2 linked regions of the Nothobranchius furzeri genome follow. The protein of the gene in region 1 interacts with the protein of each later gene in a biochemical or structural test. Links are inferred from orthologs where the notes say so. Each region holds a gene or a part of one and is shown on either strand. Other genes may lie near its edges. The genes, in order: rps6kb1b and pdk1.

Region 1 (4,409 bases):
GACTGGTTAGCGCATGCGACTGTCACCCGGGAGTCTGGGGATCGGATCCCGTCCGGGCCCTCGTTTCTCCATCTTGCCACATTAAGGTGATTCAAAAGCTCCAGTGTGCTTCAATGTGTAGAATCATTTGGAGAGCAATACATTAATTTTAGGGCAGATTCAATCTTTCTGAAACTGGTAGACCCAAGTGTAGTTCCAGTTTGTCGGCTCTGGAGGGCATCAATTCCCCTCCTTGTTTATAGTCAATAAAAAAATTGAAAATTGGCATAAGTGTGGGACACAAACAACCCATTTTTAAAGGGATACTTTGCAACATTTTAATATTTTTATATCATTTTCTTGAGCCAGTATGTACTAAAATGACACTTTACATGGTTAATGAAAGGTCACCCAACCCCTATCGCCCCTGAGACCAGAATATTCCACTTGCAACTTCACAGTTGCAGGTCCGGTCTGTTGGGGCTTTTTGAGCTGACCTACCTGCCGTTGCTATCTGGCTTCAGTACATTTCCTGCCTGTTTTAGATCATGAACACAGCGGATGAGTTTAATTTAGTGATGATTCACTCCTCTAGACACTTGGGAACGCTGGGAGATGTTTCAGCTGTTAGATTCGGGTATTAAAAAGGCGAACGCACACCGAGGAGAGTTTTGGTTTCGCTTCTACAAACTGACACTAGGGGGTGCTTAAATCAAGCTAAACTGCCTAGTATCCCTTTAATGATTATTTCTGATTATAATCGGTCACTCTGATGTTTTCATGCAGGATGAACATGAAAATAGTCTTCTACTCCATCTCCTGCATAAGTTTCTGGTAACAGACGGTGAAACTCTAGGATTTGAAAATCCTGACTGATCCACGTCACAGTGTCATTTAACATTCATGGACTCGCCCATCTTGACTTACGATGGGGATGTTGTAGATTTAATGTCCGAGAATCAGTAGAAGACATCTATCTCAACTAGTAGAAGCTAATTATTAGCACGATCAACTTCACATTGAAGAAGCTCCTCCAGGCCTGTGTTGTTTGTAGAGATAAACATCCACATGCAAGTGGTAGAGGCACGTTGCTGTAAGCCAATCCAAGGCCAGATGTCCAAATATCAGGAAATAAGACTAAAACCTGCGCCTGAAGCTCAGCTGTGATTTGGGTAACTTCTAGTTCCTAGAAATGGTGCACAGGTATCCCCTCTTGTATATATGTACAACCAATTTTGTGTTTTTAAACCTCTGTCAAATGAAAACTATTATATTTTAGCATCTAATCATAAACTAAAAGAAGGCGCTTAACATTTTTCACTGCCTGTGGTCAGCTGAATGACCTATGAAAGTCTGTAAGAATGTAAGAAATTACCAAGCTAATCTTGTGCCGTCTTAGAATGAGAATTAAAACATCCAGAGAAAGCAAATAGAAACACATCCACTTGTTGTATACTCAGAAATGATTTTTTTGTGCTTTTATTTGTAACAGTTTCTGTTCTTGAGACAATAAAACAAGTTCCCGCCCCTTTGTTGTGAGCGCCGCAGTGCGCATGCTCACTATAGTAGCCGGTTATGGTGGCCGTGCATGTTTGTCCATGAGGTGGGGGACGCCTGCTGTTCCTGCAGTCTGTGACAGAGCGATTCGAGCGACTCGCTGCCATGGCTGGAGTGTTTGACATTGATTTGGACCAGCCGGAGGAGAATGTCTCCGATGATGAGAACGAGGAGGTACTTTTACGGAAGCTGTCACGGCAGAAACTCTTGACACACGGTAGCTAGCTAGCTAGCATGGTAGCTTGGCAGGAGCCACCGCAGGCCTGTTCCTGCGTGCAGCCAGAACGGTCGGGCCTCCGCACAGCAAAGTGAGAGTTACCCTTAATCGTGACAGAATTGCCTTTTCTTCTGTGTTTCTTTGGTAACAAACACGACTCCGCGATAAGCTGTTGACGCTGTCACGTTTTTAATCCATCGCTGTCATGCTGGAGTTGTGAAAACCATCCTTACTTGGCCAAAGGTGCTGCGGTGATAAATGCGGCTCCGGGTGCAACAGTTTATTTTGGCAAGATGTGACAGAGTGGGACTGTGTGGGCTGAGAGGCTGGCTGCCCGTTTGCTTCTGTTCAAACAGTGATAGAAAAGGCAGAGCTACCGCAGAGTCACGGAGCATAGATGGCGCTGGTTCAAGGCATGTTTTTGTACATCTGCATGTCCCAAACAGGACAAAACCCTCACTACATAGAGAAGTCGGTTCAGCAAACACATTAAATGTTCCCTTTTGCTGATTAGTCTTTGATTCCTGGTGATTTTACTTAGTAATGTGAATATATTTGGACAAAAAAGTGAAACAATGCAGATATTTTCTGTATAAAAAGCTAAAAATATTCCAAGTCGCTAATTAAAAGCAAATCATTTTGAACTGAAATAATTTTAGTTTTGTTTAAGTAGCGTAGACCTACAAGGTGTAGGTGTACACACAAAAAAGCAGTCCATGCAAATTACAATCTAATAATACATTTATTATAAGTGACTTTATCACAATATGTTTATAAAATTGGCATTTTCTTGAACTTAATGTTTTAAATTTTAAATTAAATTCAACTCTAAATAAAATTAAATTTGAGCAACCAATGTTTTATTTGAAGGCTGCAGAGTCACCAGAGGATATTTATCTTTTTGAGATAAATACTTTCTCAGTTGTTGAGTTATATAAATAGTAATGATAAACAAAAAAGTCAATTAAAGGTCCAAACGTTAACACAAAATATCCGAAATAAGACTTATTGGGATTCTTGTTTAGAAAATAATGTAAAATATCATGATCCTGAATTATTTCTCCCCCTGCCAGATTGAAATCAGTGACATTATGGAGCAGTGCGCTGGATTTGAGTTGTAAGTTTTTTTGAACATTTTACAACCAAACAAAGTTAAAAAACGAGACTCAGCGCTGCACCCTGAACCTTATTTCCGCTGCAGCGACATGGACGGCTGTGAGAAGATTGAGATCTCCGAGGACAACGTCAACCAGGGGGCGGAGAACATCAGACCGGAGTGCTTTGAGCTGCTGCGGGTTCTCGGGAAAGGTGGTTATGGAAAGGTAGGACAAAAACTCAACACGTAGTACTCCTGGGAAAGATGTGGGTGGATTTTTTTTGCCTTGGTCACCTGACCAGGGGTTTTCTTGATTACGATTATTCGAAACATGCCTTTCATTTCTTGTCGTTCAGGTTTTCCAAGTTCGCAAAGTTGTCGGAGCTGCATCGGGCAAGATATTTGCCATGAAAGTTTTAAAAAAGGTATTTAAAAGTCACGTTGGATTTTTGTTGTTGGAAACCAGCGTTTGTCAGTTTGTGTCATATGATCATTTTACATACTTTAAAAAAATCCTGACATTCCTGCTGCTGCTGAAGCCGGCGGTAGGGTTAGGCTTCACGGTTAGCTGATAGATCGCTATCTGCACCTCTCTGCTGCCGCCTCGGCTCTTTCAGCTCCAGCCCAACATCTGAAGCCACGTTGGCCCGATTAACTCACAGGATCTGCTGAAATTATATATATGAATGTAAAATATAAAGGTGTCTGTAAAAAAATCAGACTTGTATTTATGGAGAATCTCAGTTTCTGAAGCCAGCTTTAAGATGTGTTTCTTCTTAGAGAAACGACGTTCATCATCCATGGGATTATTCTGTGGTTCCAGAGCTGCGGGAATCAGAGGCTTTCACTTCTCTAAACACTCCGTTCTGAGACCTTTTTATTGTTGACAGACATCTAGTCAGCTGTCTGATCGAAGTGTTTAGTAAACAGAAATACGATCAACAGCGGTGCTGAAAGCTGAAGAGGCAGAATATTCTGGGCAGGCGCTGAAACTTTTCTAGATTAGAAGAGGATTGTCAGGTTTAAAGCTGTCGCAGGCCACAAAAATGTGATTTATTCATTTTAAAAAGGCAGTAATCATTTAAAGGTTGTTTGTACTCGGATAAGTCCAAAATAGGCATAATGGTAATAATTTGAATACAAGAATATTTGAAAATGTTACGGGACTGCAACAGCCTGCCGGAGAGAGAAACCCCGTCGTTAGAGAAAAGCATTTGGGTTGCAGCACATATGCCTGCACTAAAATAGAAATGTCGATTAAACTCCACCTTCACCGTTGTGTCTGGCTTGTTGAGCTATAACAAATAAAATATACAACAATAAAAAAACTTGTTTCTCAGTTCAGGTAATAAATTCTAAACAAATAGAAAACACAGAAGACTTTTCATTTCTAAGAGTTTAGCTAAAGATCTTCCAGGGCAGCAGTCCGTGTGTTCCTATGAACTAATGTTTTTTTTTAATCTCTACTTTGGTGTTGATCGCCAGGCTATGATTGTTCGCAATGCCAAGGACACGGCTCACACCAAGGCAGAGAGGAACATTCTGGAGGAGGTGAAGCAT
Region 2 (4,245 bases), on another chromosome or scaffold:
GCAGCTGAGGTCACCTGGACTTTGGGAGCACCAAAACTGAACCCTCCAATGGACATGCCACTTGCTGCTGTCGTGGCTGTGGGTGCTACCACTGACTGAGGCTGGACTTGTGTGGGAGCACCGAAGGTGAATCCTCCCCCGCTTGGTGCCACTGTTGCTACTGCTGGTGCAGCAGCTGGGGGCTGCGAGGTTAGCAGGCTGCCTAAGGTGAACCCTGACCCGGCAGCCGGAGTTGCTGCAGAGCCCAGACTCAACCCTGTTGCTGCCGGTGTTGTCTGAGGGGTAGCAAGAGCAAACGAGGCAGTAGGCGTGCTAAAAGACAACCCCGTGCCGCCTGCGGAACTCTTGGCTGGGGTGCCAAAGCTGAAAGAGGCGGTGGGGTTGGTCTGGTTGGCATTTCCAAAGGCGAACCCCCCTCCCGGAGCTGCTGAGCTGGTTAATGTAAAACCCGCGTTGGGGGCAGCGGCAGTGGTCTTCTGCGCTCCAAAGGCGAACCCTGCATTCTGTCCGAAGTTGAATCCGCCACTCATTATCCTCACAAGAAGTTAAACACAGCCGTTACGTGTCGTTTAAAACGGCCACTTCCTTGCCGAATCTTGTGGCTTTTGGCGGGTCGCTATGACCAACTCCTCCGACTGAAGTTCCTAAAATCCCCACTGCGTCTATTTAAGTAACTTTGCACAGATACGCAGGAAATGAATGAAATCACACGCTAATCAACGTTACCTTCCGAGGAATATAGAGCCAAAATCAATAACACATTGCTAAAAACGTGGGCCTGTGAACCGACATTTCCTTTAACAGGCAATTATCTGGCCACCTAAAGGAAGTGACGACACCCGAGACGCGGCATTCTCGTATGCCCTGAATTTTGTCTGCAGGGACATAATTCCGCCTATTAATTTATTTGGCAACTGTTTTATCCAATCAGAGTTATGATTAGATTTGAGGTACATGATAGGCTCATTTGACTGCCTGATAGACAAACATTCGGAAAAATATATAGTTTGGCCTTTACAAAGAGTATGCAAAGGCAAGATAGTTACAGAATAACGAGCACTATCAACTCTTCTTCTTTCATACACACGTGAATAAAAGACATTATTTAGGACATTATCGTGCATTTATACGTCTTTATTTTCGCAATTTACCGTCAATATTGACAATAATTTTAAATACAGCCTTTCAACAGAACTTCGTGTCGGTATACGCCAGGCAACAACGATGAATCCTCTTGAACTTTGTAGTAACTCTTTGAATTAGCTTGTTGACTTTTCTGCTTCGGTGGATTTAGCAGCGATCACTTGAAGTACACACCGGACGATACACAAACATTGCAGCGCGGCCGTAGTTATGGATGCTGAACCTGCATCAATTAGCAACGTAACTGAACAATAATAAATTTAACAGCGTGTTTGCGAGCTGCTGGGTTTGCTCAACGAGCTAGTGTCGTTAAATAACACTAAGTGTGGCTCGGAAGCCACCTGCTTCCTCCGAATAACTAGTAAACCCGGTCAACATGAGGCTTCTGAGGTTTCTGAGGAACAGCGTGTCAGTAGGGAAGGATATCGATTATTACTCCAGATTTTCTCCTTCCCCTCTTTCAATGAAGCAGTTTCTGGATTTTGGTGAGATGTATTCATATAACACTCTAGGGATGTAAAAATAATTCAATGCACTGAAATATCACAACATTTCGGTTTATGATACAGAATCGATATTTAAAAGCAGAGTATCTATTATTGAGAATTTACATGCCAACATTTCTTGTATTTCTTTTGTGTGGTGCAGATCAAACACTGACAGCTAGGTGGCAGCAGTTTCTTCCTCCTTCAGTCTGACAGACCGATATCTTGCGAAAACACTGGAATTGTCTGAGTTTTCCCAGTTAAATTCACTTAAAAATTGCAAAAATAGTCAGCCTTTTAGTATCTCAATATATCGTATCGTCTCTCCTGTATAGCAACATATTATATTGCTAGATACTTGCCAATTAACACCCAGTTTTATCTCAAACTCTTCGGTGTTTCTTGATGTCTTGGTCCTGCCCCGGTTGCCTAGGAGATACGTAATCAGGTACCGCCAAGGCGTGTTCCAATCATCATGTGCTACCGAGGTGTCTGTTCTTCGTTTGTTAGCTGTTTAGCTAGCTAAGCAAGAATACACGGGAGGTGCCTTCTTTACTGGTGGTTCCCAGAATATCTAAAATTAGGATAGGAGGCAGATCTTTTAGTTATCAGGCTCCTCTCCTGTGGAACCAGCTCCCAGCTTTAGTCCGTGAGGCAGACACCTTGTCTACTTTTAAGACTAGGCTTAAAACATTTTTATTTGATAGGGCCTATGGTTAAAATCTGATGTTAGCCTACATCTGGACAAGTGGGGGAGTAGAGGTAGGTGGAGTGTACAGTCGGTAAAGACGGCTCTCCCTTGCCCTGCCTCCAACATGCCTCCATCTAAAAAGGCTAGGTTATCCTGAGTTATCTCTGTAGTTATGCTGCTATAGGCTTAGACTGGTGGAGGATACACTGACCACTTTTCACACTCTACTACTTTCTTCTACAATCTGCTCTTTAACTGTATTATTTTCTGCAATTTCAGCTATTAACTTTAATTTTTCTCTAAGTGTTTTTCTCCCCAGAAGAAGCTACAATGATGTTCTGCTGAGCTGTGGTGGCCTCATGGATGGGGCCATCGTCTAGCACACTGCTGCTAACCACTAAAACATTCTCCCTCTCCTGATAATAACTTTTTGCTTTCCTTGACGTTGGATGTGCTACTGCTAGTTTACCCATTTAATTATAGATTCACTAGGATAAGTACAATAACGTTTATCTTTCACCAAATAGAATATTTACTAAGAAATCACAATGCAACCATGCTTGGTGTGTGTGTGTGTGTGTGTGTGTGTGTGTTCTGTCTTCTTGATCCCCAGTGAGTCGTGGTGGATGGCTGCTTATACTGAGCCAGGATCCTCTGGAGGTTTCTTCCTGTTAAAAGGGAGTTTTCCTCTCCACTGTCACTATATGCTTGCTTAGTATGAGGATTGCTAACTTGATGCAATTTGCTGGTTTCCTTATATAGGAAACATTTTTTCTGATTGGATGAACTGACCTGGATTGGAATGTTTATTATGTGAAGTGCCTTGAGATTTGGCGCTATATAAATAAAATTGAATAGCCTAGCCTTGGTCAAAAAATTCCCAGAATGCAGCGTGTTATTTTCAAAAGGATGGCGGCTCAGTAGCCAGCATCTACTTTGGGGGCAAATTTCCAGTATACATGTCACGTGAAGTAAGTGTTCCATTTGACTGTTTTCTTTGATCTAGGACGCCTGGCCTCGTAAGACATCGCCATGCGAGGCCCGGCACATTGACATTGAGAAACATCCCTTATTCTATCAGAATAAAGGCAGTATAAACTTCTGCCTTCCACCTAGCAGTCAGTTTGAATTGCACCACACTAAAATATATATTAAATGTTTGCATACAGCTTTTACATGTCAATTAAGGGTCATGACACAAAATATCGCGATATTTCACATTATCGATACTTTCTTACATTCCTACTCGGTTAACATCATTAGCATGGTACCTTTTGTTGGAAAACTTCATAATTAGGACATCAATAGACCCTAACCCAGGATGATCAGATCTCTGGTGTAATTAGATATGTGTTGTCATAGGGCTGGGTGATAAATAAAAATGTATCTTATTGAAATTTCTGACTAACCAATATGAATTTTATTTTTCCATGGCAATAAATTCGATAATCAAAAAAGATGTTTGGCGAGGTTCATGTCCCTTTAAGAAGCTGGACCACATGACAACGTGACTCAAGAAATGAATGTGACAGCCCCATCTAGTGGACAACTTTTGTTTCTGCACATTCATGTAGTTATTGTCCATTCATTGTTATAAAGAATAATTCCTCAATGTATTGTAATAGTGATTTTAGGCCATATCGCCCAGCCCTATGTTGTCAGTAAATTCATCTTTGCTATTATACAGCTATATTAAGTAGTTGGACCCCCTGCTGTGATGCTGAGCAGGTTTTCCTTCTGGGTCACTGAGATCTTAAGTTGGTTATTTACCCATCCAGGCTCACATAACAAGGTGTAATTAGAAGTGAAATCCAAATTGCTGTCTTGTGTTTCTTTTTCCATTCAGGCTCAGAAAACGCATGTGAGAAAACATCCTTTGCCTTCCTCCGACAGGAGTTACCTGTGAGGCTGGCCAACATCATGAAG

Evidence for each region.
Region 2: the proteins of rps6kb1b (region 1) and pdk1 form a complex in vitro, tested with the Homo sapiens proteins (2 studies listed by BioGRID and IntAct, with this or other methods). The link is inferred for Nothobranchius furzeri from reciprocal best matches to the Homo sapiens genes RPS6KB1 and PDK1.

The regions. Positions count from the first base shown.
Region 1 is NC_091753.1:29,214,271-29,218,679, forward strand, and holds the start of rps6kb1b (ribosomal protein S6 kinase beta-1), read left to right. Parts: upstream 1-1,532; 5' UTR 1,533-1,641; coding exon 1,642-1,710; intron 1,711-2,826; coding exon 2,827-2,870; intron 2,871-2,954; coding exon 2,955-3,075; intron 3,076-3,205; coding exon 3,206-3,274; intron 3,275-4,334; coding exon 4,335-4,409. UniProt on the Homo sapiens protein: Serine/threonine-protein kinase that acts downstream of mTOR signaling in response to growth factors and nutrients to promote cell proliferation, cell growth and cell cycle progression.
Region 2 is NC_091754.1:20,878,481-20,882,725, forward strand, and holds the start of pdk1 (pyruvate dehydrogenase (acetyl-transferring) kinase isozyme 1, mitochondrial), read left to right. Parts: upstream 1-1,290; 5' UTR 1,291-1,519; coding exon 1,520-1,628; intron 1,629-4,165; coding exon 4,166-4,245. Other genes in the region: nup62l (nucleoporin 62 like), read right to left, coding at 1-530. UniProt on the Homo sapiens protein: Kinase that plays a key role in regulation of glucose and fatty acid metabolism and homeostasis via phosphorylation of the pyruvate dehydrogenase subunits PDHA1 and PDHA2.